Linked DNA regions of Lepisosteus oculatus. The protein of the gene in region 1 purifies or fractionates together with the protein of each later gene. This does not show direct contact. Links are inferred from orthologs where the notes say so. Each region holds a gene or a part of one and is shown in the gene's direction. Other genes may lie near its edges.

Region 1 (7,785 bases):
GTAAGGTGGCTCTGGATCAGAAGGAGTGATCTGTGGGAGTCAGCTCAATGCCTCTTGGGCACAAACTGTGATGTGTTCAGACTCCACTGTGCTAAAACACTCTAAACACCTTCTGACACCAGGTCACATCAGTGTTAAGCATCAAGAGATGTTGACTAGTATTGTTCTGTACAGCAACTTGAGATGAAAGGAGCTATATAAAACTTAATTTCAGTTCACTTAATTTCTCTTTTGACAGCACAAAACTCATCCATTACCAAAGTCATGAAGTGCAATTTCCATTTCCTGATCGCTGATTAGATGAGCTGCTAATAATCATTGTCATGGGACTTACAAGGAAAAATATACAGCAATATGTATAGATATAGCCACCAGGTTTGTCTTGTAACTCTTCTGAACATTTAGTGTTTTTGCTTTTAAACATTTTCTTAGCACTCAAGGGTTTGCTTTTTAGAAATATGTGTTAGATACCAACATTTCATCTAACTACCTAATCATAGATAAAATTATAAAATAATTTATAAAAAAATAAAGAAAAGATTACACGTCCAGAGAATGCCCACAAATCCTGTATTTTAAGGTATGTGGTTATAAGCTGCAATAAGGCTCAATAATTCATTTCACAAAATTTCTGGCAAGACTGAGACATGGCTCTTACCATGTCACATAACACAGCTAATCTCCTTGCATTTCCTAGAATGTTATCTCTGTCTACTCTTCTACTACTATCCTCCAGACACCTGCTTTTCAGCACACAGTTCCTGTTTCAGGCAGACAAGCTGCCAATAAGTCGATTTCTCACACATCATACTCAGAACAGTTTGGTAGAAGAATCAAAGAAGTACTCAAACATAAGATGTAACATTAGCTGCTCATAATATAATGTAAGGATATGTATAAATGTATACAAATTTATATACAATACAATTATATACAATGTATATAAATGTGTATAAATGTAAGGATATGTTTATATACTCGTCTTGTATATGTATTATATATATATACTGTGTGTCTTGTATTATATATTTCAGTTATACAAGATCAAGATCAACAGAAAATTTAGCTAAAGCATGAAGGAATCAGCCATGATTCACCAAAATGGCCATGTGGAATTGTAAATGCTATGATACACACTTTTTTTATATCTGTGGATTTTCTGTTTTTTTTTGTTGCTGTATAATGTCTCGGTGTTATAATCAGAAGAGTGTTAAATTGCTAAGATTTCTTTACCAGAACTCCTGAAATATTTATAGGGATTTACATTTTCCCCACTGTTTCCTCTTAAAGCTAAAACCTCGGATTTATTCTGTATCCAAAGTTACACCTTCAAAGGATCGATATAATCAGATATCACAAATGTTAGAAGTCCAGGTCACATTTCCTATCAGAACAACTTTTCTTGGAATGGAACCAGGAAGAAGGGAATCCTGAAGAGCCTGCTGCAGTACGGGCTTTTTCAGCCATCAGGATGAAAGCAATTCCCACAGTAGGCCCTATCTTAACTACATAAATACCAACGAGAACAAGAGCAAGCACAGACTGAGCTCAGCTGCCACTCTCTCATTATCAGATTGGAACATAAAACAGACTTCGTGCACAGCTCTGCCTTGTCCCTGAAAACAGCAGAAGAGCCACAAATAACCAGGGACCTGGGTACAGAAGACACAGCAGGTGTTAGGATGACTGGTGCACAGCACTAATCTCAATAATTTAGTCAAACACAGGCGCATTATACCCAGGGGCTGAAGATGCATCTCCTTTGCCTTACTACACACACCAGAGCAACCAACTATTTCTTCCTGTTTCTTTCCTCACATACCATGCTTTGAGCTGTCGAATGCTATTATTGCAAAGAGGAAATTAATTCCAATGGAAAACACTGCAGAGCTAGATTAACTGATGTCTACAAAAGATGAGACAAGATTATTGCTATTTTAACAAGCCTCCTTGCAGCCTCAGATCCTGGCTGAAAACTGAAGTTGGTAAAAGCAGTTGTATGGAAAGAAATGAATTCTGAGTGATTACATCCTAAAGGTAAAGACATGGGTAGCACCCCTCGTTCAGCTGTGAAAACAATTTTTTCTTTTATTTAATACTGAAATTACCCATCAGTTAGCCTGAAATTAGGTCTAACCAGTTTTAATAACGGCTTGCAGTTACAGCAGAGCAGTGTGAATCACAGAACATTACAATAAACAAAGCTATGTAAACCAAGCTCCAGACCTATTGTAATTACAATCCACTAAATCCAGAGATGTTACAATATATTAAATACAATTTTAATTACATACAGTATCTTTAATGTTTTACCGCTATTCAAACAACTGCTTGCATCTCCCTTGCTTAAGCCTACTGCCCATCTTAAAAACCTTTGGAACAGCTGTTTTTAACCCACTTTATTAATTAGCTGTGACAGGTGTATACTGCATATGCGTGTTTATTTGGTATTAGTTTTATTATTGTTTCCCTGGGAATAAACAGAACGTATGGCTTAACGAACACCTAACACCATGTTGCAAAATATCATTTCATCCAGCTGGCGGGTTCTCTCTCTCGTCCTGAGCTGAGTCAGCTGAGCGAGGGAGACTGAGGACTCTAAAGAGCATCCAGTGATGATTTAAAAGCTATACAATACAAGATCGCCTTAGCCGTGCACCTTCATTACAGTAATAGCAGTGGTAAAACAACTCATTATTCACCATTTGTCACTTAAACGTCTAAAATAACACCAGGGCAAAGTCAGAACATCATTAACATGTCTGAATGGCACAATAAGAAACACTCTTAAGGCTTTTTTTTTTAACGGTAAGTAAGGTACAGTAAAAACAAGTCAAACCTCCTTCTAGTATAAGTACTTGTTTAGCATTAACTGTAAGTCTTTTTTTTTGCAAAGCAAAAGGTCCTTTTCACACTTTAATTGAAAACAAATACAAACATCATGCTTAGAAAACATAAAAATAAGGGGCAATAAGGGTTTTGTAGAATGAATGAGTATTGTTCAGTGGAGGTGCTTCAGGAGTTAGAGCAGCTCACTTGTCAAGACTCGTAATGTACCAGCTCTCAGTCGAAGGGGGGACTGTAAGACAACGCTCTAGGACTTAATGTGTGCAACTCGGATTACGCATTGCATTAAATTGTCACCTTCTCATTCATTGTAGCTCGAACATTATGCAACTGGTCTTCCATTATAAAGACGGCAAAAAGAATTCCTCTCATGTGTGTTAGCATAGCTGGGACAATGCGAAAGACCACTGCCTGCCAACAACAGCAGTGCTCTAGCCAGAGAAAACAGAGTAGTTTATCCTCCTGTTATGTACCCATGTTTGAGTTCTGCCCTTCTACTCCAAGTGCGTCGAGCAAGTCATTCTAAAAATGTGATTTTGGAACTTGTTTTGACTTAAGAGAGGCCAGCTAAACTCCATCTAAGGAAGTGTAAGCTGGAATAGCAAACTCCTTTTGCTTAAGAGCTTTGTGACTGAAAATCTCTAGAGGTTTGTTGGCACCATGTTTGCATATGTACACTGATTTACAAGAAAGGGGAAACACAGAGAGGGAGGCCTTTTACTTTACCAACCCACTGGAATACTGAAGTCGACACAAGCAGGTCAACACCAATCTCCTATGTGCTCTAGTCTAACATTTAGAATAACAAAGACTCAGGGCCGATAGTGACACGTCAGAGCTAGTTGTTTACAAAGATTGACAACTAATACAGAGGCTTCAGAAATATTAAAACATGTTTTCAAAAGTGAAGAATGGCTATAATACTGTACATCCATAGTCAAATACAAAGATATGAGATATTCTATGATTTATGCAAAATACTTTTTAGGATGATATTTTTACATTCTATGTAACTAGATTTTTGGCAGGCAGGACTCCCTGACGTTAGACAGTTCATATCAGTAACATCACTGTGTATCAGAAAGAACTGCTGCCGAACACAAACATTAGTGACAAGTTATAGTTGTCTTAGTGCTAACCCTTTAAAAGTTTTTATAATCCTAAAAATATTTTGAAAATGCTTTATCAGCAGCATATAACTGAAACGTATTGCTTTAAACACAGACAGATATGCTTAATTAATTTAGCTCTTGGTTACATCCCCAAGAAATTGATTTAAGGCAAAAACCTAAATTCCGTGAAAGGGAGATTATACATCTCCAGGACAGGCTGTTGAACCCCTTTTGCTTACGTTTCCAAAAACTCACGAACTCAAGCACAGATTAATATTATAAATGTTAGAAAAAACAGATCAAGTTGTTAGCTTCTGAAAAAACTTTTCTGGAGAAGATAATTTTATTTTGGAACTCAGGCATTTAAATGATTGACTTTATTGTAAATAATAACAAGTGAAATCAAGATACTGCATTGAATGTACTTAAGTTATACTTTTTCAAAACAGGTGGACAGAAGCCCTGAGGTGCTTTTCTCACAGAAAGCAGTAGAACAACTTATTTGATCTCATGGCAACATCTGAACTTCTTTGTCAGAGCTAACCCTAGCAGTAGTAGCAATCATACCAAATGAAATGCAAATGGTTGAGTACGCACTGATCCTGTTCCAAAGGAAAATAGCACCAGACTCTTAAAATGAGGTATGTATGGCAACAGCAAACAGGTCGTGAGAGAAAGAGTCCCTCTGTGATCACCTGGAGCCAGAGCTGGCTGCCAGCTCTGACAGACTGTGTCCAATCCGTGTTGCCAGGGGGCTGGATAAACAGCAAAACCCCTCCTTTACTCGGGGCGCTGCTCTCCCCCGCCTCCTGGTTCTGTTCCCATAAACTCTGTGACATAGTCAGACAAGCAGCCAGAGAACCTCTGGGTCTGTTGGACCAGGGCGCTTTCCCACAGTCCGCTGAGCTGTGTGTCCGCGATCGGTCGGCCAGAGCAGGAGGTAAGACAAGCCATCCTCCTCACACCACACGTACTGCCTGCCAGGGCTTGTGGCCCCACAGTCCCTCCGGCTGAGAGACGGAAATGCAGGACAGAGCAGGGAATACCTCTGGAGACACAAGAGGCTTACACTGAAAAATCAAGGTCTTAATAACTGAAGTCATATAACCTCTCCTTATTCATTTGTAGAACCACACACACTGGACGTTGGGCCAGCAACCACTTACTGGAACAATTAGAGGTCAGTGGTGATGGATAACCGATGCTGGTGAAGCTCACTGTTACATTTTATATTCATCAAGACTCTCTAGATTGTGAGTGATCTCCTTCGATAAAATTACCTAGTTGTTCAGAACAAAACATTTCTGTAAAAGATCATGGATTTTGCTAAAAATGTTAAACGTATTGTTAGGAGATCTACAGGTAGACAAATGGCTGCAATTACACTAATCAGATTTCCATTTACCATCACATACCTTTCATATGATGTAACAAAGCAAATGCTTTTAAATGGATTTGTCCAAAAATAGCAATTCCCCTGTCAACGAGATATATTTTAATACATTATATGGACTTTGTATTTAATGAGCTGGAAAACCTTTTTTATTATTCAAACTAGAGCTTTGTGAATCACAGTTCATCCAAGATAGGCTTTCCAAATCTTTGTCTCTTCAAGGAATTAACAAAAACCGATGCTCCTTAATTATCACCGAAAAACGTGGAGTCAAACCAGTCTGAATATGAACTGCAGCTACAAATATTTATATTAAGAGTAAGCATGGCATTTAAACTGAAGGCTATGAAACTGTAAAGGGGATCATGAAATGTTTAAGGCTAACCATGAGAATATACAAAAGGAACAACCTTTAGAGAACTGGGTTTTAATTTTCTATCCGAAAACTATACGAACAGAATGTTTATTCTTGCGTGCTTTAACTTTACAACATTAATGCATTATAGTTTATATAACAAACCATACGTGTTTCACATTTTATTTACAAAATATATTTATTTTATTTTTTATTACTTTCATGATATAAAAGAACAGACTTACTGACCCATTTAAAATAGACATTCATTCATTCAGACAACATTGTAACGACAGCTAATTTCAATAAAGTCTGTAACAAAACAGAACTCCTAAAAAGAATAGCGATAAAAAATAGTGCCGATAATATGTTGCAAATAAGAAGTTGTGAAAAATTTCTGAGGCTGTTGCCTCCCATATGTAACTGCAGCCTCATGCATTAAATAAAGATCCACAGAGAAAACTATTTTGCAGAAAGCAAATCTGAAAACCCACACCATTGTACTAGTCCTGTTACAGTTCAATATGAAAGTATCTGTATTTGCATCAAAGACACAGTGGTCTCTCTTGAATTTGCATTTATGCAGATGTCTGTATTTCAGACAAAAGATCCCTTCAAGCAAGCAAAGGTTAAAGATGCACTGCTGTGAAAGCTACAGTATGTTCCTCTGCAATTGTCCTTTATACACAGCAGTACATTTGGAAAATTATGTTACCCAGAAAACTGCGCTGGCCCTTTTATGTATGAAACTAAAGACTGGAATGATGCGACATGCAATAGGGAACAGATAACATCTAAAGAAACTCTATTTTGAACAAAAACTTGATTAACAAAGGTTTCAAAGCGAATGCCAATAAAAAAGCCATGTCACTATTGCTGGCATTGCCAGGTCTTTTTATTTCTTTTGGCTTCACCGTCATCAGGAGTCCTGCAGCGTGATCTCCTTTGAGAGGGGGAGATAATTCCCTAGCAGGTCACACTCTAAAGATAAAGGACAGTCAGTTCAGTGCATGAAGCAGAGTGACCCTAGAGATTACTTACTAATGCAATCATGGAAACAACAGCTCACAACTGCGGCCAGCCGTACGTTACTGTCTGCCTTAAGATGACTTATTTTCATGGGATATCAGCCAAAAAAGGTCTTTCTTCATTTTGTTTATGAATTTACATTCGGTTTTAGAAGATTTCCTTCTTAGGTTATGCTGGAAATGTTGGTTGTTGGTTCTGTGTCTAGTCTTTGATGAACCTAAAAGTAAAGTGCTACTATTTCAAGGGAACCAATCCTTGAAAACATATTCAGCATTATTTAAGGATTATTACAAACACCTGATCATCACAGGTACTTGTTGCTAATCCTGTAAAAATATTTTACATGAAAAAATTCAGAATTTCTAACTTTTTAAAATTGTAGAAAATATTATAGCCAGTAACGCCTGGCACTGAGAATATTATGTAAGCCTAAACAGCATTCTGTCAGTGAATTTTTGTTTAACCTGCACTTAGTGCTTTGAGTTGACAAGTTTAACATGAATTTTATACTGTTATATTAGCAGTTATAAATTGGCTTTTAAGGACTGTACACGTTCTTAATTTAAAATTCACATGTATATGAGGCATTTTGTCATTTTAAACTAGTTATTAAGAGACAAATATGGTTCTGTAGTAAGGCACATTATCAAAAAGATTAGATTTATTTAACTTACTGAGAGTGGTGGTCACAAACCGCTTAAATTACAACTGTATGAGAAGCCTTCCTGCTGACTGATTGGAAATTCTCGGTCTTGCTTGTCGATGCCTTCCCTGCTTTTCAAAGTCAGACCGAGTTCTGAAGCCCAAGTTGCTCAAAGCTCTTAACAACGTCAAGGATATAATGTCCACAACAACACTGTTTTGATACTGTCGGCACAACCTTACAAACAAGCCGCCTCATGAGTTATCTAACTTACAGCATTCAGGTTATGGTTGTTCAGTCTGAATCCATCACTACAAATGTTTATCGGGTTTGTCAAGTGATTGGTTCAAATAGAAACTAACATTTATTTACTATGCATGTGGGGCAGCTGGTTGTCATAATATAT
Region 2 (7,363 bases), on another chromosome or scaffold:
CTCCAGTACATTAACACTACACTGAGAGAGAGAGGGGTTCATACACACACACTGACTGGACACTCCAGTACATTAACACTGCACTGAGAGAGAGAGGGGTTAATACAGAAACACTGACTAGACACTCCAGTACATTAACACTACACTGAGAGAGAGAGGGGTTATTACAGACACACTGACTGGACACTCCAGTACATTAACACTGCACTGAGAGAGAGAGGGGTTAATACAGACACACTGACTGGACACTCCAGTACATTAACATTATGTACACGACACACAAGTTTCAGTACATCTGACACACTGAGAGAGAGGGGCAGTAATTCAATCTGTCTTCAATGTTGAGTTAAATGTCAATTTGTGTCCCTGAGGAACATGTTGACAGCATGACACTGTGACCTGAAAGGTCAGAGGTCACTTGTATACAGCACAGCGAAGGAAACATGGATCAAATAACACACACAGACATTGAGAAATAGAGACAATTTACAGACACACACAAAGCTACAATTCAGACACACTGTATAAACAAACACACCAGGAGTACAGACTCAGTGTATAGAAACACACACACACACCTGGAGTACAGACTCACTGTACAGACACACACACACACCTGGAGTACAGACCCACTTTATAGACACACACACCCCTGGAGTACAGACTCACTGTATAGACACACACACACACCTGGAGTACAGACTCACTGTATAAACAAACACACCAGGAGTACAGACTCACTGTATAGACACACACACACACCTGGAGTACAGACTCACTGTATAAACAAACACACCAGGAGTACAGACTCAGTGTATAGAAACACACACACACACCTGGAGTACAGACACACTGTACAGACACACACACACACACCTGGAGTACAGACACACTGTATAGACACACACACACACCTGGAGTACAGACTCACTGTATAGACACATATACACACACCTGGAGCACACACACACACACACACTGTATAGACACACACACACACCTGGAGTACAGACTCACTGTATAGACACACACACCTGGAGTACAGACTCACTGTATAGACACACAAACACACCTGGAGTACAGACACACTGTATAGACACACACACACACACCTGGAGTACGGACTCACTGTATAGACACACACACACACCTGGAGTACAGACTCACTGTATAGACACACACACCTGGAGTACAGACTCAGTGTATAGACACACACACACACACACACACCTGGAGTACGGACTCACTGTATAGACACACACACACACCTGGAGTACAGACTCACTGTATAGACACACACACCTGGAGTACAGACTCAGTGTATAGACACACACACACCTGGAGTACAGACTCACTGTATAGACACACACACACACACACACACACACACCTGGAGTACAGACTCACTGTGTAGACATATACACACACACACACCTGGAGTACAGACTCACTGTGTAGACATACACACACACACACACCTGGAGTACAGACTCAGTGTATAGACACACACACACACACACCTGGAGTACAGACTCACTGTATAGACACACACACCCCTGGAGTACAGACTCACTGTATAGAGACAGACACACACCTGGAGTACAGACTCACTGTATAGACACACACACACACACACCTGGAGTACAGACTCACTGTATAGACACACACACACCTGGAGTACAGACTCACTGTATAGACACACACACCTGGAGTACAGACTCACTGTATAGACACACACACACACCTGGAGTACAGACTCACTGTATAGACACACACACCTGGAGTACAGACTCACTGTATAGACACACACACACACCTGGAGTACAGACTCACTGTATAGACACACACACACACACCTGGAGTACAGACTCACTGTATAGAGACACACACACACCCCTGGAGTACAGACTCACTGTATAGAGACAGACACACACCTGGAGTACAGACTCACTGTATAGACACACACACACACCTGGAGTACAGACTCACTGTATAGACACACACACACACCTGGAGTACAGGCTCACTGTATAGAGACAGACACACACCTGGAGTACAGACTCACTGTATAGACACACACACACACACCTGGAGTACAGACACACTGTATAGACACACACACACACCTGGAGTACAGACTCAGTGTATAGAAACACACACACACCTGGAGTACAGACTCACTGTATAGAGACAGACACACACCTGGAGTACAGACTCACTGTATAGACACACACACACACCCCTGGAGTACAGACTTACTGTATAGACACACACTCACACACACACCTGGAGTACAGACTCACTGTATAGACACACACATCTGGAGTACAGACTCACTGTATAGACACACACACCTGGAGTCCAGACTCACTGTATAGACACACACACACACACCTGGAGTACAGGCTCACTGTATAGAGACAGACACACACCTGGAGTACAGACTCACTGTACAGAGACAGACACACACCTGGAGTACAGGCTCACTGGAGAGCTCAGTGTCTGTGTTTTAGGCCAGTACACCCTCTGGGCCACATGGAGGCCTATTGTAACATTCACACATCCTGCGATCTCAGATTCCACCCTCTGTGCTGAAGGAGGCTTAAGTGAACTTTCAGCTGAAATACCACACGAGCCCCTCCCCCTCTTTCTCTGTCCCTCGCACACTGTAGAGTTAATGGACTGGAGTGTCCAGTCAGTGTGTCTGTATGAACCCCTCTCTCTCTCTCAGTGCAGTGTTAATGTACTGGAGTGTCCAGTCAGTGTGTGTGTATGAACCCCTCTCTCTCTCAGTGCAGTGTTCATGTACTGGAGTGTCCAGTCAGTGTGTCTGTATGAACCCCTCTCTCTCTCTCAGTGCAGTGTTAATGTACTGGAGTGTCCAGTCAGTGTGTCTGTATTAACCCCTCTCTCTCTCAGTGCAGTGTTAATGTACTGGAGTGTCCAGTCAGTGTGTCTGTATTAACCCCTCTCTCTCAGTGCAGTGTTAATGTACTGGAGTGTCCAGTCAGGTGTGTATTAACCCCTCTCTCTCTCTCAGTGTAGTGTTAATGTACTGGAGTGTCCAGTCAGTGTGTCTGTATTAACCCCTCTCTCTCTCAGTGCAGTGTTAATGTACTGGAGTGTCCAGTCAGTGTGTGTGTATTAACCCCTCTCTCTCAGTGCAGTGTTAATGTACTGGAGTGTCCAGTCAGTGTGTCTGTATGAACCCCCCTCTCTCAGTGCAGTGTTTATGTACTGGAGTGTCCAGTCAGTGTGTCTATTAACCCCTCTCTCTCTCAGTGCAGTGTTAATGTACTGGAGTGTCCAGTCAGTGTGTCTGTATTAACCCCTCTCTCTCAGTGCAGTGTTAATGTACTGGAGTGTCCAGTCAGGTGTGTATTAACCCCTCTCTCTCTCTCAGTGTAGTGTTAATGTACTGGAGTGTCCAGTCAGTGTGTCTATTAACCCCTCTCTCTCTCAGTGCAGTGTTAATGTACTGGAGTGTCCAGTCAGGTGTGTATTAACCCCTCTCTCTCTTTCAGTGTAGTGTTAATGTACTGGAGTGTCCAGTCAGTGTGTCTGTATTAACCCCTCTCTCTCTCTCAGTGTAGTGTTAATGTACTGGAGTGTCCAGTCAGTGTGTCTGTATTAACCCCTCTCTCTCAGTGCAGTGTTAATGTACTGGAGTGTCCAGTCAGTGTGTGTATAAACCCCTCTCTCTCAGTGCAGTGTTAATGTACTCTAGTGTCCAGTCAGTGTGTCTGTATTAACCCCTCTCTCTCTCTGTGCAGTGATAATGTACTGGAGTGTCCAGTCAGTGTGTGTGTATTAACCCCCTTCTCTCTCACTGTGTATCAATCTCCCTCTCTCTCAGTGTGTCTGTATTAACCCCCTCTCTCTCAATGTGTATTAACCCCTCTCTCTCTCTCAGTGTGTCTGTATGAACCCCTCTCTCTCTCAGTGTGTCTGTATTAACCCCTCTCTCTCAGTGTGTCTGTATGAACCCCTCTCTCTCTCAGTGTGTCTGTATGAACCCCTCTCTCTCTCAGTGTGTCTGTATTAACCCCTCTCTCTCTCAGTGTGTACTGACCCTCTTCCTCCTCTCCTGGAGAGACACACTTGACCTGTCACTCACTCCCTCCTCCCTCCTCCCTCCTCCTCGCTCTGCTCTCCTGTCCCCCCTGTTCTCCTGACGCGGCACTTTCCAAAAACAGATCGGGGCGCGATCCCTGTGTCCCGGCCCGGCCCGGCCCCTCTGCCCTCGCGCGGCCAATGGCGCGCGCCGGCGGGGGGGCCGCGCGCGCCGGGCTGGTATAAGAGCCGCGCAGCCCCTCAGAGCCCTCGCACTTTCTGTCTCCTGGCTTCTCGCTGTGTGTGCGTGAACAGACAGGGAGCAGCATGGACAACGGTCACAGCAAGACCACCGAGGAGTGCCTGGCGTACTTCGGGGTGAACGAGAACACGGGGCTGTCCCCCGAGCAGGTCAAGAAGAACCTGTCTAAGTACGGTTTCAACGGTGAGTCCCAGAGACAGAGACGGGTCAGGGCCTGGGGCAGAGAGAGAGAGACAGAGACGGGTCAGGGCCTGGGGCAGAGAGAGAGAGAGAGAGAGAGACGGGTCAGAGTCTGGGGCAGAGAGAGAGAGAGACGGGTCAGAGTCTGGGGATAGAGAGAGAGAGAGACGGGTCAGGGCCTGGGGCAGAGAGAGAGAGACAGAGACGGGTCAGGGCCTGGGGCAGAGAGAGAGAGACAGAGAGAGAGAGAGACGGGTCAGAGTCTGGGGCAGAGAGAGAGAGAGGGAGAGACGGGTCAGGGCCTGGGGCAGAGAGAGAGAGAGAGAGAGACGGGTCAGAGTCTGGGGCAGAGAGAGAGAGACAGAGAGAGACGGGTCAGAGTCTGGGGCAGAGAGAGAGAGAGAGAGAGACGGGTCAGAGTCTGGGGATAGAGAGAGAGAGAGAGACGGGTCAGAGTCTGGGGCAGAGAGAGACAGAGACGGGTCAGGGACACGGAGAGAAAGAGACAGATCGGGGACTGAGAGAGAGACAGGTCAGGAACAGAGAGAGAGAGACACATCAGGTACTGAGAGAGAGACAGGTCAGGAACAGGGAGAGAGACAGATCAGGGACTGAGAGAGAGACAGGTCAGGAACAGAGAGAGAGATGGATAGAGGGAGAAAGATGGAGAGGTAGGGAGAGGGATGAGACGGGCAGGGACTGCATGTTCACTTGGAAAATACAACCATTTCTGTGACTGTGACTGTGATTGATGAAAATCAATTTCTCCTGAACTTCTCCTGAACTGGTGCAAGGAACTTCTCTCAAAACATCTTAGAGATGAATTACTGCTGAATTACAGACAAAGCTGTTCCTGTAAAAGAGCTGTGTCTCTGTGTGACAATAACAGAGATCAGTGCTGTAAGAGAGTTGTGTCTCTGTGTGGGACAGTAATAGAGATCAGTGCTGTAAAAGAGCTGTGTCTCTGTGTGGGACAGTAATAGAGATCAGTGCTGTAAGAGAGCTGTGTCTCTGTGTGGGACAGTAATAGAGATCAGTGCTGTAAGAGAGCTGTGTCTCTGTGTGACAGTAATAGAGATCAGTGCTGTAAGAGAGTTGTGTCTCTGTGTGGGACAGTAATAGAGATCAGTGCTGTAAGAGAGCTGTGTCTCAGTGTGGGACAGTAATAGAGATCAGTGCTGTAAGAGAGCTGTGTCTCTGTGTGGGGACAGTAATAGAGATCAGTGCTGTAGGAGAGTTGTGTCTCTGTGTGGGACAGTAATAGAGATCAGTGCTGTAAGAGAGCTGTGTCTCTGTGTGGGACAGTAATAGAGATCAGTGCTGTAAAAGAACTGTGTCTCTGTGTGGGACAGTAATAGAGATCAGGGCTGTAAAAGAGCTGTGTCTCTGTGTGGGACAGTAATAGAGATCAGGGCTGTAAAAGAGCTGTGTCTCTGTGTTTGACAGCGATAGAGATCAGTGCTGTAAAAGAGCTGTGTCTCTGTGTGGGACAGTAATAGAGATCAGTGCTGTAGGAGAGCTGTGTCTCTGTGTGGGACAGTAATAGAGATCAGTGCTGTAAAAGAACTGTGTCTCTGTGTGGGGACAGTAATAGAGATCAGTGCTGTAGGAGAGCTGTGTCTCTGTGTGACAGTAATAGAGATCAGTGCTGTAAAAGAGCTGTGTCTCTGTGTGGGACAGTAATAGAGATCAGTGCTGTAAAAGAACTGTGTCTCTGTGTGGGGACTGTAATAGAGATCAGTGCTGTAGGAGAGCTGTGTCTGTGTGGGACAGTAATAGAGATCAGTGCTGTAAGAGAGCTGCGTCACTGTGTGGGACAGTAATAGAGATCAGGGCTGTTAAAGAGCTGTGTCTCTGTGTTTGACAGCGATAGAGATCAGTGCTGTAAAAGAGCTGTGTCTCTATGTGTGACAGTAATAGAGATCAGTGCTGTAAGAGAGCTGTGTCTCTGTGTGGGACAGTAATAGAGATCAGTGCTGTAAGAGAGCTGTGTCTCTGTGTGGGACAGTAATAGAGATCAGTGCTGTAAGAGAGCTGTGTCTCTGTGTGGGACAGTAATAGAGATCAGTGCTGTAAGAGAGCTGTGTCTCTGTGTGGGACAGTAATAGAGATCAGTGCTGTAAGAGAGCTGTGTCTCTGTGTGACAGTAATAGAGATCAGTGCTGTAAGAGAGTTGTGTCTCTGTGTGGGACAGTAATAGAGATCAGTGCTGTAAAAGAGCTGTGTCTCTGTGTGGGACAGTAATAGAGATCAGTGCTGTAAGAGAGCTGTGTCTCTGTGTGGGACAGTAATAGAGATCAGTGCTGTAAGAGAGCTGTGTCTCTGTGTGACAGTAATAGAGATCAGTGCTGTAAGAGAGTTGTGTCTCTGTGTGGGACAGTAATAGAGATCAGTGCTGTAAGAGAGCTGTGTCTCAGTGTGGGACAGTAATAGAGATCAGTGCTGTAAGAGAGCTGTGTCTCTGTGTGGGGACAGTAATAGAGATCAGTGCTGTAGGAGAGTTGTGTCTCTGTGTGGGACAGTAATAGAGATCAGTGCTGTAAGAGAGCTGTGTCTCTGTGTGGGACAGTAATAGAGATCAGTGCTGTAAAAGAACTGTGTCTCTGTGTGGGACAGTAATAGAGATCAGGGCTGTAAAAGAGCTGTGTCTCTGTGTGGGACAGTAATAGAGATCAGGGCTGTAAAAGAGCTGTGTCTCTGTGTTTGACAGCGATAGAGATCAGTGCTGTAAAAGAGCTGTGTCTCTGTGTGGGACAGTAATAGAGATCAGTGCTGTAGGAGAGCTGTGTCTCTGTGTGGGACAGTAATAGAGATCAGTGCTGTAAAAGAACTGTGTCTCTGTGTGGGGACAGTAATAGAGATCAGTGC

What was found. Proteins that work in one complex are often made in the same cells at the same time.
Region 2: the proteins of pln1 (region 1) and sarcoplasmic/endoplasmic reticulum calcium ATPase 1 purify together in Homo sapiens (affinity purification with western blotting, with the first as the bait; 3 studies listed by BioGRID). This does not show direct contact. The link is inferred for Lepisosteus oculatus from reciprocal best matches to the Homo sapiens genes PLN and ATP2A1.

What each region holds. Positions count from the first base shown.
Region 1 is NC_090697.1:647,176-654,960, forward strand, and holds the start of pln1 (cardiac phospholamban), read left to right. Parts: upstream 1-4,728; 5' UTR 4,729-4,899; intron 4,900-5,087; exon of another isoform or gene 5,088-5,212; intron 5,213-7,785. UniProt on the Homo sapiens protein: Reversibly inhibits the activity of ATP2A2/SERCA2 in cardiac sarcoplasmic reticulum by decreasing the apparent affinity of the ATPase for Ca(2+).
Region 2 is NC_090699.1:1,559,866-1,567,228, forward strand, and holds the start of sarcoplasmic/endoplasmic reticulum calcium ATPase 1, read left to right. Parts: upstream 1-4,317; 5' UTR 4,318-4,380; coding exon 4,381-4,498; intron 4,499-7,363. UniProt on the Homo sapiens protein: Key regulator of striated muscle performance by acting as the major Ca(2+) ATPase responsible for the reuptake of cytosolic Ca(2+) into the sarcoplasmic reticulum.